Linked DNA regions of Stegostoma tigrinum. The protein of the gene in region 1 interacts with the protein of each later gene in a biochemical or structural test. Links are inferred from orthologs where the notes say so. Each region holds a gene or a part of one and is shown in the gene's direction. Other genes may lie near its edges.

Evidence for each region.
Region 2: the proteins of disks large homolog 1-like (region 1) and monocarboxylate transporter 4-like interact in a test that uses a peptide from one of them, tested with the Homo sapiens proteins (2 studies listed by IntAct, with this or other methods). The link is inferred for Stegostoma tigrinum from reciprocal best matches to the Homo sapiens genes DLG1 and SLC16A3.
Region 3: the proteins of disks large homolog 1-like (region 1) and mtmr1b interact in a test that uses a peptide from one of them, tested with the Homo sapiens proteins (2 studies listed by IntAct, with this or other methods). The link is inferred for Stegostoma tigrinum from reciprocal best matches to the Homo sapiens genes DLG1 and MTMR1.

Annotation. Positions count from the first base shown.
Region 1 is NC_081367.1:52,820,041-52,828,272, reverse strand, and holds the start of disks large homolog 1-like, read left to right. Parts: upstream 1-4,783; 5' UTR 4,784-5,790; coding exon 5,791-5,809; intron 5,810-6,057; coding exon 6,058-6,189; intron 6,190-8,232. UniProt on the Homo sapiens protein: Essential multidomain scaffolding protein required for normal development. Recruits channels, receptors and signaling molecules to discrete plasma membrane domains in polarized cells.
Region 2 is NC_081375.1:27,674,944-27,682,710, forward strand, and holds the start of monocarboxylate transporter 4-like, read left to right. Parts: upstream 1-4,409; 5' UTR 4,410-5,165; intron 5,166-7,767. UniProt on the Homo sapiens protein: Proton-dependent transporter of monocarboxylates such as L-lactate and pyruvate. Plays a predominant role in L-lactate efflux from highly glycolytic cells.
Region 3 is NC_081368.1:14,661,770-14,670,114, reverse strand, and holds the start of mtmr1b (myotubularin-related protein 1b), read left to right. Parts: upstream 1-4,987; 5' UTR 4,988-5,069; coding exon 5,070-5,164; intron 5,165-5,180; exon of another isoform or gene 5,181-5,276; coding exon of another isoform or gene 5,277-5,311; exon of another isoform or gene 5,312-5,360; intron 5,361-8,345. UniProt on the Homo sapiens protein: Lipid phosphatase that specifically dephosphorylates the D-3 position of phosphatidylinositol 3-phosphate, generating phosphatidylinositol. Could also dephosphorylate phosphatidylinositol 3,5-bisphosphate to produce phosphatidylinositol 5-phosphate.

The DNA of each region.
Region 1 (8,232 bases):
ACTAGCTTATTTGTTGTGTAACTTACAAACTTGGTCCTAACAGATTCACTTATGTCAGCCAAGTTATTTATATATAGTGTTAAAAAATCAAGACTCCAGCAGTGATCCGTGTGGCATTCCATTAATTATGCCGTCCTGAAAATCATGATTCATTCGTAAGCATATAGGGGCAGTGACTCAGGCAGAAGCAGGGATGGATGCTGATTGAGCTGGAAGGAAGAATGAATAGTGATTGATTTGGAGGCAGTGAACAATAATGATTGATGTGGAGCCAAAATCTGAGGATGGTACTGTACCAGATTAGGAGGAAGGGAAAGAAATTGAGTGGGAACCAGTGAATAAGAAAGGGACAGTGATTGAGTTTTGAGGCAGGCTGTGTGAGGGAGGGTGTTGGAAAGGGCCAGTGAGTGAGTTTTCAGACAGGGTGAGAGGGTGGGACAGTGAGTGAGTTTTGGGGCAGGGTGTTGGGGAGGGACAACGAGTGAGTTTTGAGGCAGGGTGTTGGAGAGGATGGCGAGTGGGTTTTGGGGCAGGGTGCCGGGGAGTGACGGCGAGCGGGTTTTCGGGCAGTGCGCCGGGGAGGGACGGCGAGCGGGATTTGGGGCAGTGCGCCGGGGAGGGACGGCGAGCGGGATTTGGGGCAGGGCGCGGGGAAGGGACGGTGAGCGGGTTTACGGGCAGTGCGCCGGGGAGGGACGGCGAGCGGGATTTGGGGCAGGGCGCCGGGAAGGGACGGTGAGCGGGTTTTGGGGCAGGGTGCCGGGGAGGGACAACGAGTGAGTTTTGAGGCAGGGCGCCGGGGAGGGACGGCGAGTGGGTTTTGGGGCAGGGCGCTGGGGAGCGACAGCGAGTCGGTTTTGAGGCAGGGCGCCGGGGAGGGACGGCGAGTGGGTTTTGGGGCAGGGCGCTGGGGAGGGACGGCGAGTGGGTTTTGGGGCAGGGCGCCGGGGAGGGACGGCGAGTGGGTTTTGGGGCAGGGCGCCGGGGAGGGACGGCGAGTGGGTTTTGGGGCAGGGCGCTGGGGAGGGACGGCGAGTGGATTTTGGGGCAGGGCGCCGGGGAGGGACGGTGAGTCGGTTTTGGGGCAGGGCGCCGGGGAGGGACGGCGAGTGGGTTTTGGGGCAGGGCGCCGGGGAAGGACGGCGAGTGGGTTTTGGGGCAGGGCGCTGGGGAGGGACGGCGAGTGGATTTTGGGGCAGGGCGCCGGGGAGGGACGGCGAGTGGGTTTTGGGGCAGGGCGCTGGGGAGGGACGGCGAGTGGGTTTTGGGGCAGGGCGCTGGGGCAAGACGGTGAGCGGGTTTTGGGGCAGGGTGCCGGGGAGGGATGGCGAGCGGGTTTTGGGGCAGGGCGCCAGGGAAGGACGGTGAGTGGGTTTTGCGGCAGGGCGCCGGGGAGGGACGGCGAGTCGGTTTTGGGGCAGGGTGCCGGGGAGGGATGGCGAGCGGGTTTTGGGGCAGGGTGCCGGGGAGGGATGGCGAGCGGGTTTTGGGGCAGGGCGCCAGGGAAGGACGGCGAGTGGGTTTTGCGGCAGGGCGCCGGGGAGGGACGGCGAGTCGGTTTTGGGGCAGGGTGCCAGGGAAGGACGGCGAGTGGGTTTTGGGGCAGGGCGCCGGGGAAGGACGGCAAGTGGGTTTTGGGGCAGGGCGTCGGGGAGGGACGGCGAGCGGGTTTTGGGGCAGGGCGCCGGGGAGGGACGGTGAGCGGGTTTTGGGGCAGGGTGCCGGGGAGGGACGGCGAGTCGGTTTTGGGGCAGGGTGTTGGGGAGGGACAACGAGTGAGTTTTGAGGCAGGGTGTTGGAGAGGACGGCGAGTGGGTTTTGGGGCAGGGTGCCGGGGAGGGACGGCGAGCTGGTTTTGTGTCAGGGTGCCAGGGAGTGATGGCGAGCGGGTTTGGGGCAGGGCGCCGGGGAGGGACAGTGAGTGAGTTATGGGGCAGGGTGTTGGGAAGAGACGGTGAGTGAGTTACAGGGCAGGGTGTTGGGGAGGGACGGTGAGTGAGTTACAGGGCAGGGTGTTGGGGAGGGACGGTGAGTGAGTTACGGGGCAGGGTGTTGGGGAAGGATGGTGAGTGAGTTCTGGGGCAGTGTGTTGGGGAGGGACGGTGAGTGAGTTTTGGGGCAGGGTTTTGGGGAGGGACGCTGAGTGAGTTATGGGTCAGGGTGTTGGGGAGGGACGGTGAGTGAGTTTTGGGGCAGGGTTTTGGGGAGGGACAACGAGTGAATTTTGAGGCAGGGTGTTGGAGAGGACGGCGAGTGGGTTTTGGGGCAGGGCGCCGGGGAGGGACAGTGAGTGAGTTATGGGGCAGGGCGCCGGGGAGGGACGGTGACTGAGTTATGGGGCAGGGTGTTGGAAAGAGACGGTGAGTGAGTTACGGGGCATGATGTTGGGGAGGGACGGCGAGTGAGTTACAGGGCAGGGTGTTGGGGAGGGATGGTGAGTGAGTTCTGTGGCAGGGTGTTGGGGAGGGACGGTGAGTGAGTTATGGGGCAGGGTTTTGGGGAGGGACGGTGAGTGAGTTCTGGGGCAGGGTGTTGGGGAGGGACGGTGAGTGAGTTCTGGGGCAGGGTGTTGGGGAGGGACGGTGAGTGAGTTCTGGGGCAGGATATTGGGGAGGGACGGTGAGTGAGTTATGGGACAGGGTGTTGGGGAGGGACGGTGAGTGAGTTACGGGGCAGGGTGTTGGGGAGGGACGGTGAGTGAGTTACGGGGCAGGGTGTTGGGGAGGGACAGTGAGTGAGTTACGGGGCAGGATATTGGCGAGGGACGGTGAGTGAGTTACGGGACAGGGTGTTGGGGAGGGACGGTGAGTGAGTTACGGGGCAGGGTGTTGGGAAGAGACGGTGAGTGAGTTACGGGACAGGGTGTTGGGGAGGGACGGTGAGTGAGTTACGGGGCAGGGTGTTGGGGAGGGACGGTGAGTGAGTTACGGGGCAGGGTGTTGGGGAGGGACGGTGAGTGAGTTACGGGGCAGGGTGTTGGGGAGGGACGGTGAGTGAGTTACGGGGCAGGGTGTTGGGGAGGGACGGTGAGTGAGTTACGGGGCAGGGTGTTGGGGAGGGACGGTGAGTGAGTTACGGGACAGGGTGTTGGGGAGGGACGGTGAGTGAGTTACGGGGCAGGGTGTTGGGGAGGGACGGTGAGTGAGTTACGGGGCAGGGTGTTGGGGAGGGACGGTGAGTGAGTTCTGGGGCAGGGTGTTGGGGAGGGACGCTGAGTGAGTTACGGGACAGGGTGTTGGGGAGGGACGGTGAGTGAGTTACGGTGCAGGGTGTTGGGGAGGGGCGGTGAGTGAGTTACGGGGCAGGGTGTTGGGGAGGGGCGGTGAGTGAGTTACGGGGCAGGGTGTTGGGGAGGGACGGTGAGTGAGTTACGGGGCAGGGTGTTGGGGTGGGACGGTGAGTGAGTTACGGGGCAGGGTGTTGGGGAGGGACGGTGGGTGAGTTACGGGGCAGGGTGTTGGGGAGGGACGGTGAGTGAGTTACGGGGCAGGGTGTTGGGGAGGGATGGTGAGTGAGTTACGGGGCAGGGTGTTGGGGAAGGATGGTGAGTGAGTTCTGGGGCAGTGTGTTGGGGAGGGACGGTGAGTGAGTTTTGGGGCAGGGTTTTGGGGAGGGACGCTGAGTGAGTTATGGGTCAGGGTGTTGGGGAGGGACGGTGAGTGAGTTTTGGGGCAGGGTTTTGGGGAGGGACAACGAGTGAATTTTGAGGCAGGGTGTTGGAGAGGACGGCGAGTGGGTTTTGGGGCAGGGCGCCGGGGAGGGACAGTGAGTGAGTTATGGGGCAGGGCGCCGGGGAGGGACGGTGACTGAGTTATGGGGCAGGGTGTTGGAAAGAGACGGTGAGTGAGTTACGGGGCATGATGTTGGGGAGGGACGGCGAGTGAGTTACAGGGCAGGGTGTTGGGGAGGGATGGTGAGTGAGTTCTGTGGCAGGGTGTTGGGGAGGGACGGTGAGTGAGTTATGGGGCAGGGTTTTGGGGAGGGACGGTGAGTGAGTTCTGGGGCAGGGTGTTGGGGAGGGACGGTGAGTGAGTTCTGGGGCAGGGTGTTGGGGAGGGACGGTGAGTGAGTTACGGGGCAGGGTGTTGGGGAGGGACGGTGAGTGAGTTACGGGGCAGGGTGTTGGGGAGGGACGGTGAGTGAGTTATGGGGCAGGGTTTTGGGGAGGGACGGTGAGTGAGTTCTGGGGCAGGGTGTTGGGGAGGGACGGTGAGTGAGTTATGGGACAGGGTGTTGGGGAGGGACGGTGAGTGAGTTACGGGGCAGGGTGTTGGGGAGGGACAGTGAGTGAGTTACGGGGCAGGATGTTGGCGAGGGACGGTGAGTGAGTTACGGGACAGGGTGTTGGGGAGGGACGGTGAGTGAGTTACGGGGCAGGGTGTTGGGGAGGGACGGTGAGTGAGTTACGGGGCAGGGTGTTGGGGAGGGACGGTGAGTGAGTTACGGGGCAGGGTGTTGGGGAGGGACGGTGAGTGAGTTCTGGGGCAGGGTGTTGGGGAGGGACGGTGAGTGAGTTCTGGGGCAGGGTGTTGGGGAGGGACGGTGAGTGAGTTACGGGGCAGGGTGTTGGGGAGGGACGGTGAGTGAGTTACGGGGCAGGGTGTTGGGGAGGGACGGTGAGTGAGTTCTGGGGCAGGGTGTTGGGGAGGAACAGCACTGGAGTTTCAAATCTTGGGTGAGCTGCTCTGCAGCATCACCGCAGCCTTCCTTAAACCTGGGCCCCGCCCCCCGGTCGGCCTGCTCCCTCCTGATTGGCGGGCGGCCGGTCAGGTGGTGGAGATTCGCCGTCCCGGTCGCCATTTTGGGGGAAAGTTTGGGATTTTTCTGGCAGTGACTGGGAAGAGGAGTAGTAGCAGTTGTTCGCCGGGTGGGAGGGAAGCGGCGGCAGCGAAAGTTTGTTTTTGGTGGAATCCGGAAGAAGAGGAGTGGGAGAGTGTGTGCCGGTGCCGGTCCGGGGGCCCCACCTCTCGGGGCGGGGAAAGGAGGAGGAGGCGGTGGGTCACTGGCGGCGGTGAAGGACTACAACTCCACGGGGAGGCAAGAGAGCGCAAGCCCCGGAGCCTGTAACTCGCCTGACGGGGAGGCAGCCAGAGAGTCGGCCCCTCTTTCGGGCTGGCGGGGTGTGGGGCAAGGCCGCCGCTTGCTGCATCCCATACCGAGGAGAGAGGACACAACCCCCCGCCCCTCCAACTCTCTTTTCCAAGAATCAAAACAACCGACACCCAGCAAAGGGATCCACTGGACGACCCTGAGTGTTAGGGGCAGAGACCAGGACAGTCACTCTCAAGCTCAGCGGAGAGGATCCACTCTCCCCAGTTGGTCTCCTGCAGTCACCTTGAACAAGTAGGACAAGCGAGCAGTGACCGGGCAAGATAACCAGCAGAAACGTTCTGATCAGCGAATCGGTATTCCAGACTGGGCAAGAGGAGAGAGTCAGGATGTGGTCCTCCTGAGGCCAACACTTTACAAACCGGTCAGTCTACTTCAGGAAGGAAGGATTGACTGATATCGGAAAGAAACCAAAAGTGTCTCTCAAACAAGCCTAAGCCTGTTTTGAAAGGAAAAAAAAATTGATTGTCAGTGAAACTGATTGCACTAAATATTTACACATTTCCTTGAGTCGGAGCGAAAAGTTGGGATCCGGTGTTTCTGGCAGTTTATCGGGACCGTTTGAAAGCGCAGAAGAAAAGATCCTGTCTCCGGAGACTCTTAGACTCCGGAGGACAACTTGGAATTGAGGGAATTACCAACTGGGAGCTTTAACCTGTGAAGGAAATCTGAAACAGGAGGATGCCGGTTCGAAAGCAGGGTGAGTTTCAGCATATTAAATTTTGCAGAAACATTTTAATAAAAGTTTTTAAAGTCCGCTAACACTTTGTATTTAGCACCATTGCCACGAACTTTAAGACGAACCGATTTTAACGAAGGATATCTTTGTCATTTTCTATCAAGTGCTAAAAGCTGGGCAAAGATGTAGTAGCTCCAGGAGTTGTTACGGGATCGGTCCAGTAATGATCGTTAAATGTGTGATTATTTTTGCCCCTTGTCTCTGCTCAGATGCTCAGCGAGCTCTGAAGCTCCTGGAGAATTACCGTGCCAAGCTCGGCAAGACTGAAGACCGTCAGCTCCGTGCCTCCATCGAGCGAGTTATCAATATATTCCGCAGTAATCTCTTTCAAGCATTAATAGGTACGTACATAGACCGCTCGATATCTAGTCGTCTTCTTACTTTTTGAGGTTAACAGCAGCGTCGGCCGATGAGAGCTGTTAAAATACCAATGGGTTGTTCTGAACATAAGGACTTAAATATTCTGGACAGAGAAACAGGTTTGACGTTTTAACAACGCGGGAATGCCTTGGCTTTTCTATATCCGATTACGAAATCATTCTTTCTCCTTAAGCTGACAACCTGTTGCCTTGCGATTCTGTGAATCACGGAGAGGCGAGAAAGCGGGAATAGTCGAACAATGTAATTGCGAATATTTGACAGACGTTGTCGCGTCATTTTAAACCCCGCAACACTGAAATGAATGCCAGCGCCAGTGCAGCATTTCTAATGAACTCTGCTTATAGTGTTGAACGATCAGATTACAACTTGATGTCAGTGTACATGATGCGATTCGGGAGCAGTTGGGCGGTGAACAGGAAGCCTTATGGAGGAAGGGGCGTGATTTATGAATGTAAACAGTTTCGGCTGTGTGCGGCATCTGAGTTGGACACGTGTGGAGGTGGTACTGAGGAAAGTAGATACCGAATCGGTACGATATGACATTTTAAGGAAAACCGTATTGATAACTACGGATTTTTAAGTGGAAATAAGGATAGTGGGAGTTGCGTTAAAATTCTGGGTGTCAATTTAGATTTTGCAGAGTGGGAAATCCTTTTCTGATTTCAAAACTTATTGACATTTTAATCAGAAGTCCACACTCTTGTTAGAGAATAGTGCAGTTGATTAAAATCGTTTTGATGGGGAGGAAGTAAAGATAATATTGTAAAGAAAATGATCCCTCGACATCAGCTGTAACCTAATTTGCGTTGAACTTTAAAATACATAATTAAAATAATTGATATTTTATTCATGTGGGATGTGAGCATGCTGGCAAACATATTTATTGGTCAAGCCAACACTACTTAATGGTTATTAGTACTGATTTCAGTGATATGAGGCACCTTTTCACTGTTATAATTCTATTAACAAAATAAATGTAAAAGGTCCAGTGACCGTCAAAGGTTAATCTTTCAAGTGTTCAGTAGCATACCACTAATGCAAATAGCTCTGACAAACTAAGGTTGTGTTGTAGTATTGAATTGTCATTGTCAACAAGATGATACTGGTATGTAGTAGGTCTTATTGGTTATCAGAGGTTTCAAATGTACTGTGTATATGCGATCCCCATCCAAGTACAAATTTAACTACAAAGAGAGGCAAATGATTGAAGTATAATGATAGTTTAAGTTGTTCACACATAAACTGCCTGTCTGGATAGTAGGATCCTCTAGCGTACGGATTAGATCCATCGGGAAACCTACTGATCTGCTTGCCAGCAGCAAAGCAGTAGTGAATTTTTGAGAAGTTGTGCAGCTAGCGTTTTTTTCAATGATTTTTGTTTTGTCTAAATGGCAAACACATTGGGCTTTTCGTAAAATAAGAAATATTCCATATAACTGATGTCTAAAACATCTGTACTTTCTGTTGTTCCCCTTAATACCTCCCCATTAAATACCTTAAACCACTATCGTCAGCTGCTCAAGTTGGAACTAATGTCCGCACACGTTGTGCATCACTTTTTTTCTTAATCTTTTTGTACGTTTGTTTGCTTTCTCCCTTTCCAAAATTCCTGTCTACTCTCTTGCTGAGATACTGATTATATTAGGGCTGGAAACACTCCAAACACCTCAGTGACATTGGATGCATCTTTCATAGTGTAGTTAAGCCTCATTAATATTTGTATGTACACGTTTACTAGGAATGAACTTTTGATAGTGCCTGAGCATGGAGATATTACTTTTTCTACCTTATTTAGGTTGTTGAGGAAAATTTTGGGATTTTACCCCTAGCCCAGCTAAAACTGACTGACTAGCGTAGAATTTCTCCAGAAAGTGCATGTAAATAGACTCCAGATGATAGTGACATGAGTTTGTTGTAAATGTGTACATTGATTTTTTTCAAAAACTGTTTCATTAGAAATAATTGAAATTTGGTTGTGCAGGAAATAAAAATAAAGCTGAAAC
Region 2 (7,767 bases), on another chromosome or scaffold:
AGGTTTATAATTTCTGATATTGAAGTAGACACCGTGTGTAGATAATCTCAAAGCATATGACTGGCACAGGAGAAGAATACGCCAAAGACTGTCAATGCCAAAACAGAATGTCTTGTGACCCGACTGCAGATCTCAAGGAGTTCTGATGTTGACCTTTCAAAGTTGACCTTACCCATCATGCCATGGAAAAAGGAGATCACATCGAACAGCTTCTGTGGGCAGCTCTGCTCAACTGGCCGGATGTCTTGTTGACGTCAGCGAAGGCCACATATTCAGTTTTCCATTGTTCATGATATTTCTCTAGCAGCTGCTGGATTAAGACATTTGTAAATTTCTTGTCTTAAATCACACAGATTCAAGGTAGATGCGTTCTGTCAAGAACTTAAGTCTGGCAAAGGCAACATGGGCAAACCATTTTTTTAATGACCAGTAGGGAGAATACCCGATAATTGTTACAGCTGGAGTATTTGGTTAAATTCCTGATTGTCAAATGACAGGAAGAATATGAAGGCTTCAGAGAAGGTGCAGAAAAGATTTAAGGAATGATTGTAGGGATAAAGGACTTCAATTAAGTGGATGGATTAGAGAAGCTGGCATTGTTCACCAGAGATGGGCAGTTTGAAAGAAGATTTGATAAATGTGTTAAAATCATGACAGGCCTTGACACAGCAGATAAGGAGAAACTCTTCCCATAGGGAGAAACATGGGGAGATAATAGCCTAGTCATATTATTGCAAGAGTATTAATCCAGAAGCTTATGTTCTGGGGACCCAGGTTCAAATCCCATCACAGCAAATGGTGGAAGTTGAGTTCAATAAAATATAATCTGGAATTAAGAATCTAATGACAACCATGAACCTATTGCTGATCGACCAGAAAAACACATCTGGGTCACTCATATCCTTCAGGCAAGGAAATCTACCATCCTCACCTGGTCTTACCTATATGTGACTCCTGACCCACTGCAATGTGGTTGATTTTCAACTGCCTTCTGAAATGGTCTAGCAAGCTACTCAGTTAAATCAATTGCTACAAAGCCTCAACCTTTAGCATATAGACTGCAGTGTTTCAAGAAGGCAACTCATCACCATTTTCTCAAGGACAGTTCAGGACAGGCAATAAATGCTGGTGAGCCAACAATGCCCATGGCCCACGAATGAAAAAAAAAGTATCAATTGAGAATCAGAAAACACTTTTAAGGTGAATGGCAAACAATAACAGGAGGTCAAATCTTTTAAATCAGCCAATGGTTAGGATCTGAAACACTGTCTTGAAAGTTTGGTGAAGGCATATTCAATTACTGCTGGAAAGAAGAGTTTGATAGACATTTTAAGACAAAAAAAAATCTGTCTGTACTACAGGAGACGGCAAGGGAGTGGCACTAACAGCATTGCCTGTGCTGAGAATAGCACAGACATGATGAGCTGAATGGCCTGATTCTGTTTTATAAAAGTTCTATTATTTCATGATTTCCAACCTCTGGTCTCATTACCCTAAAAATCTAGTTTGTAATTTTATATAACTCCCTGTCTTAAAGTAAAACCAGAATCAAATTCTCAATATTCAAACTATTTGTTTCAAAAACCATCAGTTCTGTTCATAACAGTAACTAATTTTCATGAATCTACTTTCCACAATTGCACTGTATTTCACAGGCTGATGGAAAATGTCAAATCTATTGAATGTGTCAGTAGATTAACAAGTACAAGCAGACACAATTCTGACGTCTGATCATGAGAAACATAATGAACTCACAGACCACTGCCGATATCCCCCATCAACCATGTAGGCTATATATCTTGTATATGAAAAATACAAAAGTTGGGAGTAAACCAGAAAATGTAATTGCCAAAAAAGCTTTCTGAAATCTACAGTTTCACTTTCTGAAATTCCTACAAATATGAAACCATGGCTTTAAACTAAGAAGACTAAGGTTTTGGAACAGCCTTGCTGTAAATCATGCTTTTCATCCATGGTGGATGTGCAGGAATACAAACATATAAATTAGCTGCAGAATTGGGCCACAAGGCCCCTCAAGCCTTTTCTGCTGTTTAGTAAGATCATGGCTAATGCGATTATGATTTCAACTCCACATTCCAATAACCAGTGGCTCTCTTTGAATATTTATGGGCAACAGATATTAAATTATAGAAATTGTTATTCTTGTGCCATTCCTGAATTGACTGTGTATGACAAATATTTTTGGAAGAAGTCACTGAAGCTTGTCTGCTGCCAACTGCGCAAGTTTCCTACTCAATGAAAATGGAGAAACACTAATCCCCTAAACAATTAGGTCAACCTAATTAACCGGAATTAGGAGACAGCTGAACATTTGAAATATGAAGTGGGCATCAAAGTGTTTACTCAGTAAAATGATGCTGGAGAATTCAAGGAGTGAAATGCTTTAAGGCAGGGAACATAAGCCCCATGCTATGAATCAAGGAGAGAACTAACAGCACTGTTGGTTAGTTGGCATCCATGAAAGTACTGGACATATCAAGCAAGGGAAGAGGTAAAAACAAGAGTTAGTATTTCAAGTCCAGCATAATTTTCCTTTGGAACTCCAGTTCTCAATGATGAGATCAAGTTCAGGTAAAAGGTCAGAAGGACTGATCGAGGTGGAGAAGCCATTCTGAAGACTGACAAAAGGATCTGTGGGGCTGGATTAGAAGAAGTGGCATGAAGGCAGATTACAGAAGAATTCAGTTACATGTCATGCCTGAATTTTTTTCAGGTGGCAGTGTAAAATTATGACCTTTGCTGAGCACAGATTATTCAGCATCAACCAGGGGTAGGTCAAGGAGTGTAGCAATTAAATGACAAGACAGGGGATTGCAAGAAGGGATGGAGTTGGAGAGGAAGGGAGGTAATTAGAACTCCAGAGGGGCATCAGTACCTGGGAATTTCTGGAACTTGCATTCTTTAACTCCTGAAAAGAAGAGAATTTTTCTTTGTTTAAGCATTGAATGAGACAAAGAACAAAATGGATTTGGACACCGGGACAGCTTTGAGATATTGGGAGGTGGTGCTGATGAAGAGAGAAGCTGAGAGTGTGCATGTGGTGGTGCATAGCATTGAATGTGGATCTGAAGATGTGGCAGAAACAGTTGTTTTAGGAATGTTGCATGTATCAGAGATTGCTGTAATCTTGGGTGGGTTTGAAACATAAAGGATGGAACTTCAACTGGAAACTGTGTGGGGTATGGTGAAGCCAGAGAGTTACTGAAGAAGGGGATGTAGCTGTGAAAGTAACTTTTGACACTTTATCAAACATTAGAAGGAAAGTAGAAAGTAATGAAGGTGAACAAGCTGAAAGATTATAACAGAAATCCTACCAGAGTCAATGGCAGAGCTTTTTAAAAATGAGCACACAAGGTGAAATGGCAGTGAGTTAAACACTCAAGTAAAAGCAAAATGCTGTGAATGCTGGAGTTCTGAAATAAAAATGGCAAGTGCCGGAGGAACGCAGCAGATCTGACAGCCATGCTGGAGTCAAACAAACCTGTTTTTCTCTGAACAGGTGTGTTGAGTTTCTCCAGCACTTTCTTTTCTTGTTATTGTCCAGGGTCTTTGGGGATTCACTCTAACATTCCCCTCAAATAAAATTGCCACAGATGATTGGTAAAATAAGACGAGTGCATCATGTAAATTACTGGGTAGCATTGACCAACATAAATTTGTTTGGATAATGAAAGACCAGTTGGACATTGAGTAATACTTCTTCCTATCCATTTACACCATTATGTTGACAGTATAGACTCTGCTGGCTATGTACATACAGTTGTTTGCTCCTTGTATTCATGTAAAGCCAGCTGTACAATAGAATTCTAAAATATTGTAACAATTCCACACTGTATTTCTCTATGACTCTAATATTGCTAATGTTCTGAAGGAATTTGCTCTGGCAGATCAGTCACTGGCTTGCTTCACTGAGTAACACTGGGTGAGAGGGTATATTTTATCTAACTGTAGCCTGGAAGCTGGAAAGCGTAAACATTGATTATCGTTACGATATTGACAGCTACTACCTGGGTTAGCTGGGTGGTGGATATTATCTGGAAGATTTATGTAGAAGATAGCACAGCTGGGTCATTTTTACCTCCTATAAATTTTGGCATCCAAGGGCTTAGCTCAGTCGAACCCTAGGAACTTTACCTGGCGTGCTAATAGGTAACATTGCTGTAGATGATATAGTTTGGAATCACCATATATTTCTGTCAGTGCATTCCTATTTCACTGGGGAGAGAAAATGCTCATTAGCAGAATGACCGAATTGTTAAAGGTTAGAAGGAGGTTAGTAACAAATCCATTCAGTGCCAACATGTGACACTGAACTTCCAACAGCGTGTCACTTTAATTCCTCATCTTGCTCCCACTCTAACCTCTCTGTCCTCAGTCTCTTGCAAAATTCCAGTGAAGCTCAACAAAACCTGGAGGACCAGCAGCTCGTCTTTCATTTACATAAATTACAGCCTTCTGCACTCAAAGTTCAATGATTCCAACCCATTTTGTTTCCCTTCTTCAATTTAAATTCCACCATCTGCCGTGGCGGGATACGAATCCAGATCTTGAGGAAGGATCACCGGACCCGAAACGTTAACCCTGTTTCCTCCTCCACAGGTGCTGCCAGACCTGCTGAGCTTTTCCAGCAACTTTGTTTTTGTTGCAGCGAAAATACCACTAGGCAATTGCCTCCCCACGTCCGGAAGTAGCGCCATTAAGCTTTCATTTTATTTCTGATCTTCCTCAGATGTATATGGAAGGGAGGGGTAAACAAGTTCCGCCAGAAAGTTGTCTGACTTGCTCCAAACTCATGATTGTATGAGTGCATTATATGTGACAAGTGGCGGAAGTATGGGCCTTTTGTCTCTGTGTGTGCGTGTCTCTCTCTCTCTCTCTCTCTGTCGCTTTCTGAAGAATTTCTCTTCTGTTTATCGCTCGAACGAACGGACAGCGTTTGTTCTGAATAGTTGAGACGATCATTGGGGCCGGGAGCAGATCCCATTGAGAGGTATGGGAAATGAACGGTCCGGCCACTAAGACCCAGCGGAACCAGCTGCGAGCACACGGCTTGACGCAGCAGTGTGAATAAGAGCGGAGCGTGGCGAGAGCATCATCGGCAGCCAGATCTCATCGTGTCGGGAGCAACAATTTAAAACCTCAAGGTAAGGACCTGCAGCCTATAAATCCATAACTCGAGAATACATTGTGGTCATCTGTGTTACCTTTTCTAAGACAAATGCCACAAAGGGGGGTATATTGTGGAGGGTGCCTCATCAATATCTTAAATTATACTCAGTATTCGAAATTCACGTTTAAATCCGTCTTTCATGTGAGCAGGTCTGTACATCTCCGGTGAGATGCGCTACATAGATATGTATATGTATTGATGATATGTATTCTGGATCCTCGCTCTTTTATTAAAACCTTAAATTTGGAGGTTACTGACAGCAGCATTGTCTAACAGATGAAATACCATGGCCCACATCCTCGATTTTTTTTCCCTTCACCCCACCACCAAAAAAAAAATCGCATTTAGCAGGGCGTTGAGGTGAGATGTGGGCTCCGGCGACCAAATTGTGACTATATTTTGATGATAATATGCAAGGTGGATGTTTTTTTTTAAATTGGTAAGTGGGTTCGTCTCACGGGAAGGTGACCACGAGCATCTTACACAACGTGCAAATGGCGAGGTGTTGGTTCCGGGAGCCAGAGGCCGGTAGAAATACTCGCTGCTCCTTACAAATCGTCCGTCTTTGTTAATGTGGGCACCCCTCCCCTCCCCTCCCCTCCCTATGGGCTGGTGGTCACAGTGCTGAACGACCCGAGGAGGAAATGGCCGGAGAAGCGTTTGTTTCATTGAATTTGACCCAGCTCAGCACAGCATGGTCTCGATGCTCGCCTGTGCTAAACTGCAGAATGTCTCTCCGCAAACTTTAAAAAAGTATCTACCTTACACTGTCTTTCTGCGAAGACTTAATCCGATGGAGTACACGGAAAAAAGCTGCGACAACTAGAACCCTCAAGTAAAACTACTTCCACTACAGAACGCTTTTTAGTAAAATAACGATTTGATTTGTAAAGTGCTTGACCTGTTTAAGTATTCGCATCATTTGATTACATTACTGCCTTGTGGTTCCTCCGAGGCGCCCATTGTCCTGACTGGCCCGGGAAAAAAAATCAATGGCATTGTTTTAGCGTGGAGATAGAAGGGGTTCATTTCTGTCTGTTTTTCTCTCGATAGATTGAAAACACTTTACAGGTGTAATGGACTGAAAAAGCTCTCCGATCAACTGCTATCCCAATTTATAAACCCTTTTGCCTAGCAGACTGGCCAGTGGGAGACGAGCCGTGAGCGTGTTTCCCAGGGCCACCCATTGATTTTGCTGTGTTTGATGTGAAAGCTCTCAGCTTCGACTTCCCCCCCGCCCCTGTCACACAAACACTGCAGCTCGGTGCTGCTAGGGAGATTGAAACTGCGTCCTTGTGTAAGGAGACAAAAAGCCCGACCAAGTCATCCCCCGGCTCGGTTTATCTCCGTGTATTTCCGCTTTCCTGCTGTAATTCACCCCGCCCCCGCCGCCGGATTACTCATGATTCTCGGGGAGACAGAGCACCCTTCACCGCCTCATTCTTTCAGGTCACGTCTCTCACGTCCTCTTGCAGGCGATGATGCTTTTGTTCCTCCTTTTTACCTCTTACTCGCCCTCCCTCTCTGCCACCTGAACACCGGCTAGCCTGGGGCTGACCAGCATTTCTTTCTCATTCCGTTAACAAGTATCTGCAGGGATGGCGAATTAAAACGAGGAGGAAAAAAAGACTCTATTTGTATTAACACGGAGCAATCTGAAGATGAGCGCGTGGTTACAGACACCTTCGCTGTTCTCAGACATACCTGAACAGTCGTGCAGAAAACAGTTTTCAGGCTTTTAACGTGTGGGAAAGAAAATGCATTTTATAAAACCCGTTCTGAAGATGGGTCACTGGACCCGAAACGTTAACCGTGCTTTCTCTCCACAGATGCCGCCCAGATTTTGCTGAGCTTCTCCAGCAATTTTTTTTTGTTTTTTTTGTAAAGCGCCTTGATTTTTAAAACGGTCAAACCGTCTTCCCAACGGCGTTTCAAAGCCACGTCGCACCACGACACCGTGTTAATTTGATGTGACTAGGTAGTCAGGCTGAAAAACAAACCCGAAACGGCTGCGGATGCTGTAAATCGGGAACAAAAACAGGAGTTGCTGGTAAAGTTCAGAGGGCCTGGGCAGCACCTGTGAAGAAAACATCTGAGGAAGGGTCACCGGATCCGAAACGTTAACTCTGATCTTTTCTTCGTAGATGCTGCCAGATTTCCAGTTCTTTCTGTTTTTGCTAGTCATGCTGTGAACACTAGAGCTTACTTGTTTAAAGTCAAACCGGTACAATATGATCAACCATGAATGAACTGAAAATTTATAAAATTTGGACCATATTAACATCATGACATCAGTTTGGCTGTAGGCTATGGTATAACTGAGTCAATCCTTGTTGACATACTGGATAAACAGTTTCTTCATTTCAGGGTAATAAATTCATGGGCCTCCTGCAGTGCCACAATGATACCACCCGAAAGTTGCAGGAACAGCAACTCATATTCCGCTTGGGAACCCTGCAGCCTAATGGTATCAATGTGGACTTCACCAGCTTCAAAATCTCCCCTTCCCCCACCGCATGCCAAAACCAGCCCAGTTCGTCCCCTCCCCCCACTGCACCACACAACCAGCCCAGCTC
Region 3 (8,345 bases), on another chromosome or scaffold:
CTCTTGAACTCAGTGATTTGCTGGCCCATTTCAGAGGGCAATCAAAACTGAAAGAACTGCGGATGCTGTAAATCGGAAATAAAAACAGAATTTGCTGGAAGCTTAGCCAGTCTGGCAGTCAACTATGAAGATAAAATCAGAGTTAACATTTTGGGTCTGGTGACCCTTCCTCAGTTCTGGGCAATCAACCTGCCTTCCCTAAACTTCCTGGTAATACATTCCACACTCTAACAATTTGCTGTATGAACAAGTTTTGTTTTCTCATATTACTCTTGATTCCTTTGCACAGCAATTTAAATCTATGTCCTACTGTTATTGTTCCTTTGATGAGTGCTGGGGTGAAAATCTGCCATCATCTGCCTGATCTGGTCTACATCTGACTCCAGCTTGACAGCAACATGGTTGACTCTTGATAAACATTTTTCATGAATTCTTTATTTGCATATCGTTGTGTAAGATCAAGAGGGTATAAAGCCAGTTTTGTATCCAATTGGTTAGCTCCCCCTGTATTCCATGCGATCTAATCTTGCTAACCAGTCTACCATGTGGAACCTTGTCAAAGGCCTTACTAAAGTCCATATAGAGAATGCCACCATTCTGACTTGATCAGTTTTCTTTGATGCTTCTTCAAAAAACTTAATCACGTTAGTGACACATGATTTCCCACACACAAAGCCATGTTGACTTTTCCTAATCAGTCCTTGCCTTTCCATGTGTGTGTAACTGTCCCTCAGAATCCCCTCTAACATCTTGCCCACCACTGACATTAAGCTCACTGGTCTATAGTTCCTTGGCTTTTCCTTACAGCTTTTCTTAAAGAATGGCACCACATTAGCCAACCTTCAGATGTCCAATACCTCACGTGTGGTTGTTGACAATACAAATATCTCATCAAGGGGCCCAGCAATCACTTCCCTAGCTTCCCACAACATTCTGTGATACACCTGATCAAGTCCCGGGGATTTATCTAACTTCATTTTAAGATGTTCAGCACCTCCCCTTCTGTAATATGGACACCTTTCAAGATATCACTACTTATTCCTGGAACCATTCTGGTGAATCACCTTTGCACTCTGCCCTACGCATGCACATTTTTCTTATAACCTGGTGCCTGCAACTGTACATAATATTCCATCTGAGGTCAAACAAGTATCCTGTATAAGTTCAACATGCCCTTCCTGTTCTTATATGCCCTTAATAATAAAGCATGAATACTGTATGCTACAATTACTGCTGTCTTCACCCGTGCTTTGAGTTATAAAGAAAGGCTAGATGGGCTGCAACCTTACTGGAATGTAGGAGGTTGAGAGGTGACCTGATAATAGTTTATAAAATAATGAGGGGTAAAGATAGGGTTAATGGTAATTGTCTTTCCACCAGGGTGTGGGATTTGAAGACTGGGGAGCACATTTTGTAACGTGAGAGGGGAGCTGAAACCTCCCATACCTAGCAACATCCTGGTAAATCTCTTCTGAACCTTCACCAGTTTAATAATATCCTGCCTGTAACTGGTCAACCAGAACTAGATACAGTACTCCAGGAGCGTCCTGTACAACCTTAACATGACTTCTCACTTCTATTCTCAAAGGGCTGAACAATGAAGGCAAGCGTGTCAAACGCCTTTTTAACCACCCTGTCTATAGGTGATGCAAACTTTGAAGAATTATGCACCTGACTGCCAGGTCCCTCTTCTACAACACTACCCAAAACCCTACCATTAACTGTGTAAGCCCTACCATGGTTTGTTGTATCAAAATGCAATACCTCACATTTACCAGATTGAGCTCCATCTGCTGTTTTTCAGCCAATTGACCCATTTTGCCTGAGGGTGGAATTGAACACAAATCTCTGGCTTTGTGGGGTAACAATACTAATGACTGAACCACTTTGCAATCCCTAAAGTATTGTGTTCAATAGTCAAATTGTGCTGTTTAATATATAATGCTTGTATTGCTAATTGTGCATCACCCACAACAAATATACACAAATCACCATGATGTTGACAATGAAATGTAAATATTCATTTAATTTTAATTTTGCATTTAGAAGTCTCCTTAAATCCAAGATAACTTGCTGCTTCCAAAGCCAGTACACTACATAAGACATGAGTCAGGAGTGTGATGGAACAATTTCCATTTGACTGAATGGGGCAGCTCCAACAGCACTGAAGAAATTCCAAGCCATCTCGTCCACTTGATTAGCACCATATTCACCACATTCTACATCCACCCTCTCCATCACCGACATAGTGGCAGCATCGTGTATCAATTGTAAGATGCACTGCAGCACCACCCCAAGACTGCTTTGATATCAGTTTCCAAATCTGTGAGCTCTACCGCATTGGACAAAGACAGCAGATATATAGAAGCACCAGCATGTGCAATTCCCCTGCAAGCCACACTCCAGCCTGACTTGGGAATTATATGATCACCTCTTCATTGTCACTGGTTCAAAATCTTGAAACTTGACTTCCTAACAGGGTAGGTGTACCTGAACAACATGCATTACAGCTGAGCAAGAAAATGCCGACCAACCTCTCAAGGGCAATTAGGGATGGGTAACAATGCAAGTAATGTTACATTCCATGGGAGAATTTGAAACATCTCAGTTTGTATAAACATGCTTTTTACTTGCTGCCATACTATTTCTAATTCCAACTCTTCTCGGTGGTTCAGAGTTTAATGGTAACAGACCGACTATTTACAATGGCTTACCATGTACTCTTATCATAGTAGCATATTTATGCATAATGAAATTGAAGTCTTTTTAAAACACAACACAGTAAGTCATGAAATTGAAACAATTAGTGCTCTGTAGTAAGTTATCAGCATTTGTCAGACATTTCAATGTGATGAGAAAATGCAGTTGTACAATTGGAACGTTTGCTAGAGCATGCTGCAAAACAATGTCCTGGGGTGCAACTGTAATGACTGTTAACTGAGCTGACAAAAACAACAGTCACTGGACTTATATTAAATATAAAATTACAGGAAATGTCTGCTTGGGAAAAGAGGAAAATTACCGGATGCATTTGTCTAGACAGCTGAATGTTAGTGTGCTTCATGTTTTTGTGTTAGAATATTATCTGGACATTAATTTTGTCAACGTGCAGGTCTTTATTACCCTTTGATGTTTATGACATGATCTAGTAGTATCTGATTTCAGTAAGTGAAATTTTGTGGTCCTTGTGTGGCTAATTGTTTCATTCAATTTCAGTTTTTTGGGCTATTTTCTTTATAATTTTTAAACTGGAGAAAAATGTAAAATATGCAATATTTTACGAATGTAATTTTAAGAAATTAGTTCAGGTATGTGAGTACAAAAAAATCTCCAGGATCTCTTTGTATCCAGCAATAGAAAAATCAGGACTGGGACGAAGCTGCTTTGTTTGTCCATCCCCTCCTCAGATTTGTTTGTGTTCTTTGCTTTCCTATTGAACAGCAAACTTGATTTGAAACCTTCACTGATTAATGGATAAGCCATCAAGAAAATGAGTTGGAAATGTTGGATAAGTTTAAATCAGAGTTAACATTTCGGGTCTGGCGATCCTTCCGCAGTTCACCGGACCCAAAACGTTAGCTCTTTTTTTTCACAGATGTGCTGCCAGACTCGCTGAGCTTTTCCGGCAACTTCTGTTTTTATTCCTGATTTACATCATCCACAGTTCTTTACGTTTTTAAAAGGCACTGTCAGGCACTGGTAGCTTATTTATTTGTGCTCTTCATCACTGCACACAATAGCAAAGAGTGCACCAGCTACAAAAATGTACTGCATTAACTTATTAAGGCTTCTAAGCATCATCTGAATCAGGACATGCACCACCTGCACAAGGGCTGCAGGTATGTAGGAGCAGCATCGCCTGAAAATCGCTCTTTAAGTCACACACCGTTTGGACATGACCATTTATTGTAGTCCTTTTACTGTTACTCAGTTACTGCCCAGTAACACCCTTCCTAACACTACTGTGGTTGTCCCTAAATCACTAGTACTGCAATAATTCATGAAATTAGCTTCTAATGGCCTCCTCACACACAGTTAGGGATGAGTATTAAATGCTGGGCCCAGACAGTGAAATTGAACTTTGAGAATGCTTTCTTGCACCTTGTGCATCAATCTAATGCATCTCCAGCCTTCCCAATGATTGACAGATGGCCATCCAGCTGCAGGGTTATCACTTAGTGATGGACGGCTGGCAACCTGCTGATTTTCAACGATCAGAAAGATTTAAAAACACTGATGGTGCCGGGAACATTGTCTTCTATTGATTGACTGTTGTCATTCTCAGGGAGTGACAGCTGTCAGCCTGTTGATTGGCAGCTATTGGTCCCAGGTGAATGACAGGTGTTGGTCCCAATGATTGACAGGTGTCAGTCCCAATGATTGACAGGTGTGGGTCCCGATGATTGACAGGTGTGGGTCCCGGTGATTGACAGGTGTCAGTCCTGGTGATTGACAGATGCATGTCCCAGTGATTGACAGGTGTCAGTTTCGGTGATTGACAGATGCATGTCCCGGGATTGATAGGTGTCAGTTTCGGTGATTGACAGATGCATGTCCCAGTGATTGAGAGGTGTCAGTTTCGGTGATTGACAGGTGCAAGTCCCGGTGATTGACAGGTGCATGTCCCAGTGATTAAGAGGTGTGAGTCCTGGTGATTGACAGGTGCATGTCCCAGTGATTGACAGGTGTCAGTTTTGGTGATTGACAGGTGCATGTCCCAGTGATTGACAGGTGTCAGTTTTGGTGATTGACAGATGCAAGTCCCGGTGATTGACAGGTGTCAGTTTCGGTGATTGACAGGTGCAAGTCCCAGTGATTGACAGGTGCAAGTCCCGGTGGTTGACAGGTGTATGTCCCGGTGGTTGACAGGTGCAAGTCCCGGTGGTTGACAGGTGTATGTCCCGGTGGTTGACAGGTGCATGTCCCGGTGATTGACAGGTGTCGGTCTCCTTGCGGCGCTGGCTGCAGCTGAACTCTGACTCTGCGCAGCTACAGGAAGAGGAAGCGCCGGAGTGAAGCTGTTACTGAGAGGATTTCCGAGGCCGAGCCTCTAACAAAAGGCGGCCGCCATGGACAGGCTGGGCACTTCCGAGAGCCTGGCCACAAAGAGGCCACCGCGCTTGGCCACTGGCTCCGGGCAAGCGAGCTTGGATTCACCGGAAAGGTAGCGGGTCCAGGCCTGGGACTGGGGCCAGCGGGTAGAGGGAGCCGCCCAGGCGCCTGTGGAGCACGACTTTCCCCGGCTCTGTTTGCATCGGGATCCCCGGGCACGGTGCATGGAGCCTGCGTTGGATCTGCAATGGGATCCCGGGTACAGTGAATGGACCCCGGGCTCAGTTTGTATTGGGATCCCAGCCACGGTGCGTGGAGGCCCGGTGGCTCTGCAATGGGATCCCGGGCGCGGAGTATAGAGCCCGGGCTCTGTTCGTATTGGGATCCCAACCACGGTGCATGGATCCCGGGCTCTGTTTGTGTTGGGATCCCAACCACGGTGCACGGATCCCGGGCTCTGTTTGTTTTGGGATCCCAACCACGGTGCACGGATCCCGGGCTCTGTTTGTTTTGGGATCCCAACCACGGTGCACGGATCCCGGGCTCTGTTCGTATTGGGATCCCATCCACGGTGCATGGATCCCGGGCTCTGTTTGTGTTGGGATCCCAACCACGGTGCACGGATCCCGGGCTCTGTTTGTGTTGGGAGCCCCGGCACGGTGCATGGAGTCCCGGCTGGGTTTGCATTGGGATCCCGGGCACGGTGCATGGAGTCCCGGTTGGGTTTGCACTGGGATGGGCTGCGCTGTTGGGAACAGGGACACAAGAGGCCGTGAATTCCAGGGAAAAGTGTAGAGAGCTCAGGCTGCAGGCTCGTCGGAAGGTGCATTTTGGGCCAGTGTCTTTTGAACTAATTGCCGTGTCGTCAATTCCTGGTTTTGGAATGTGAACACTTGTATATGAATGTTTTCACGTTAACCAGAAAACTGCATTAATTGCATTTTGAATGTTGCGCTAATCCAACTTATTACAAATGTTTTTCCTTCCTGGGTCTAATTATTTTCTGAACAGGCCGGTGATGTGGTAGAAATCATCCCATTCATGAAGCTGCTGAAAGAAATTGGTGAAGTTATGTGAAGTCGTGGTCCCGCAATGAGGGACAGTTTTACTTAAATGTAAACTATTTTTCCTATCAAGGTACCCACCAAAAAAAACGGCCTGCAGCTTTGAGCCGGTCTTCACGTAAATTAGGAACTGGAGCAGGGCATTCAGCCCCTCGGACCTTTTCCACCATTCAGTGAGACCACTGCTGATCTGTAACCTGACTCCACGTACCTGCCTTTGTCCCATATTCCTCAATACCCATTGCTTAAGAAAAACATTATCTATCTCAGATTTTAAATCTGACAACTGATCCATTGTCCTTTGCGTAAGAGAGAGTTATGCCTTTTGTGTGTCAAAGTGCTTCTAAACATTCTCACTTGAATAATCCAGCCTTAATTCTCAAACTATACTGTGTAGTCTTAGAATGCCCAACCAGTGCAAATAGTTTATGGTTATTTATGCTGGTTATTTATTCCTTATCTCATTGGCAGACTTGTAAATACAACTAATTATGGGCTGAAGATGACTGATTTCAGCAGTGATCATACAAGGAGACACAGCAGTTACGAACTTCATCCAGATCCAATGTAAAAATAGGAAAAAACAAAGCTGTTACATGCAGCCTGGCTGGTCGTCTTGAAGTCAAACAGAAACTGTCTTGTGTAGCTGAAGTCATGATCATGTATTGCAGACACCCTACATCATGCTGTGTGGCACTGCTGTCATGCAGAAGGGGATAGATTGCAAACAGATCTAGGAATTCAAGACTGGGCATCGGGTGTGCTATAGGCCATCAGCAGCGGCAGAATTTTACTTAAGCACAATCAACGACCCCTTGGTCCACCAGACTTCCCATTCCCAACATTATCATCAAGCCAGGCCACCACTCGCTCCACCGTCAATGCTCAGTAGTAGTAGTCTGCTGTATCTACAGAAATTCAGCAGCGATCCTCAGAAGGTTCTCTGGATCAGTTCCAGAGATGAAAGGCATGTTTTATGAAGAGAGATTGAACAGTTTAGGCCTATACTGTCTGCAGTTTAGACGAATGTGTGGAGATCATATTGAGGTATATAAGATGTTAAAAAGGATTGAGAAAGTAGATTTGGAAAGGATGCGTTATATGGGCCCATCTAGAATGAGGGGTCACAGTTTTAGGCTGAGGGGTAGCAGAAACATGTAGAAAGAAACTGCTTCTGTCAAAGTGAAGGTCTAGGCCCAAAACGTCAGCTTTTGTGCTCCTGAGATGCTGCTTGGCCTGCTGTGTTCATCCAGCTTCACACTTTGTTATCTCGGATTCTCCAGCATCTGCAGTTCCCATTATCTCTTCTGTCAAAGTGCCATGACTTTGGAATTTACTACCTCCAAGTGCATTAGATATCAGGACACCTCAACATATCTCCGCACATTCTTCTAAACTCCAGAGAATATAGACCTAAACTGTTCAATCTGGCTTCATAAAACTATTATTCACAGGACACTGAATAAATTTAAGGAAGAGATGGACAGATTTTTAATTAGTACGGGGTTGCAGGGTTATGGAGAGGGAGCAGAAAAGTGGAACTGAGGCCAAGATGAGATCGGCCACTATCGTATCAAACAGTGAAGCAGGCTTGAGGGGCTGAATGGCCTACCACTGCTCCTAGTTCCTATTGTCAAGTCTTTACTCAATGAAGAGTGCAGGAGGACAGGCATATCTAAAAATGAGATGTCACCTGGGGAAGCTACAGCACAGAACAAATTGCATGCCAAAAAATATAAGCAGCAAGTGAGATAAAGGGCTAAGCTGAATCCCTTACTATCAGCACCCTGGGGATTGAACATCCATTGAACAGAAACTGAACTGGACTCAGCACAGAAACACAGTGGCTGTAAGAGCAGGTCATAGACTAGGAATCCTGAAGCGAGTAACTTGCTTCCTAACTCCCCAAAGCATATCCTGCGATAGGCACAAGTCAGGAGTGTGATGGAATACTCCCCACTTGCCTGGATGGGTGCAGCTCCAACTACACTCAAGAAGCTTGACACCATGCAGGACAAAGCAGCCTGCTTGATTGGCACTGTACCCACAAGCACCCACCACTGGAGATCAGTAGCTATATCACCATTTCAGTCGGTCAAAATCTTGCAGCTCCCTCCCGAATGGCATTGTGGCCGTCCCTGTGCCACGTGAGCTGTAGCAGTGTGTACTATCTACAAGATGCACTGCAGAAATTCACTAAGCCTTCTTAGACAGCACTTTTCAAACCCA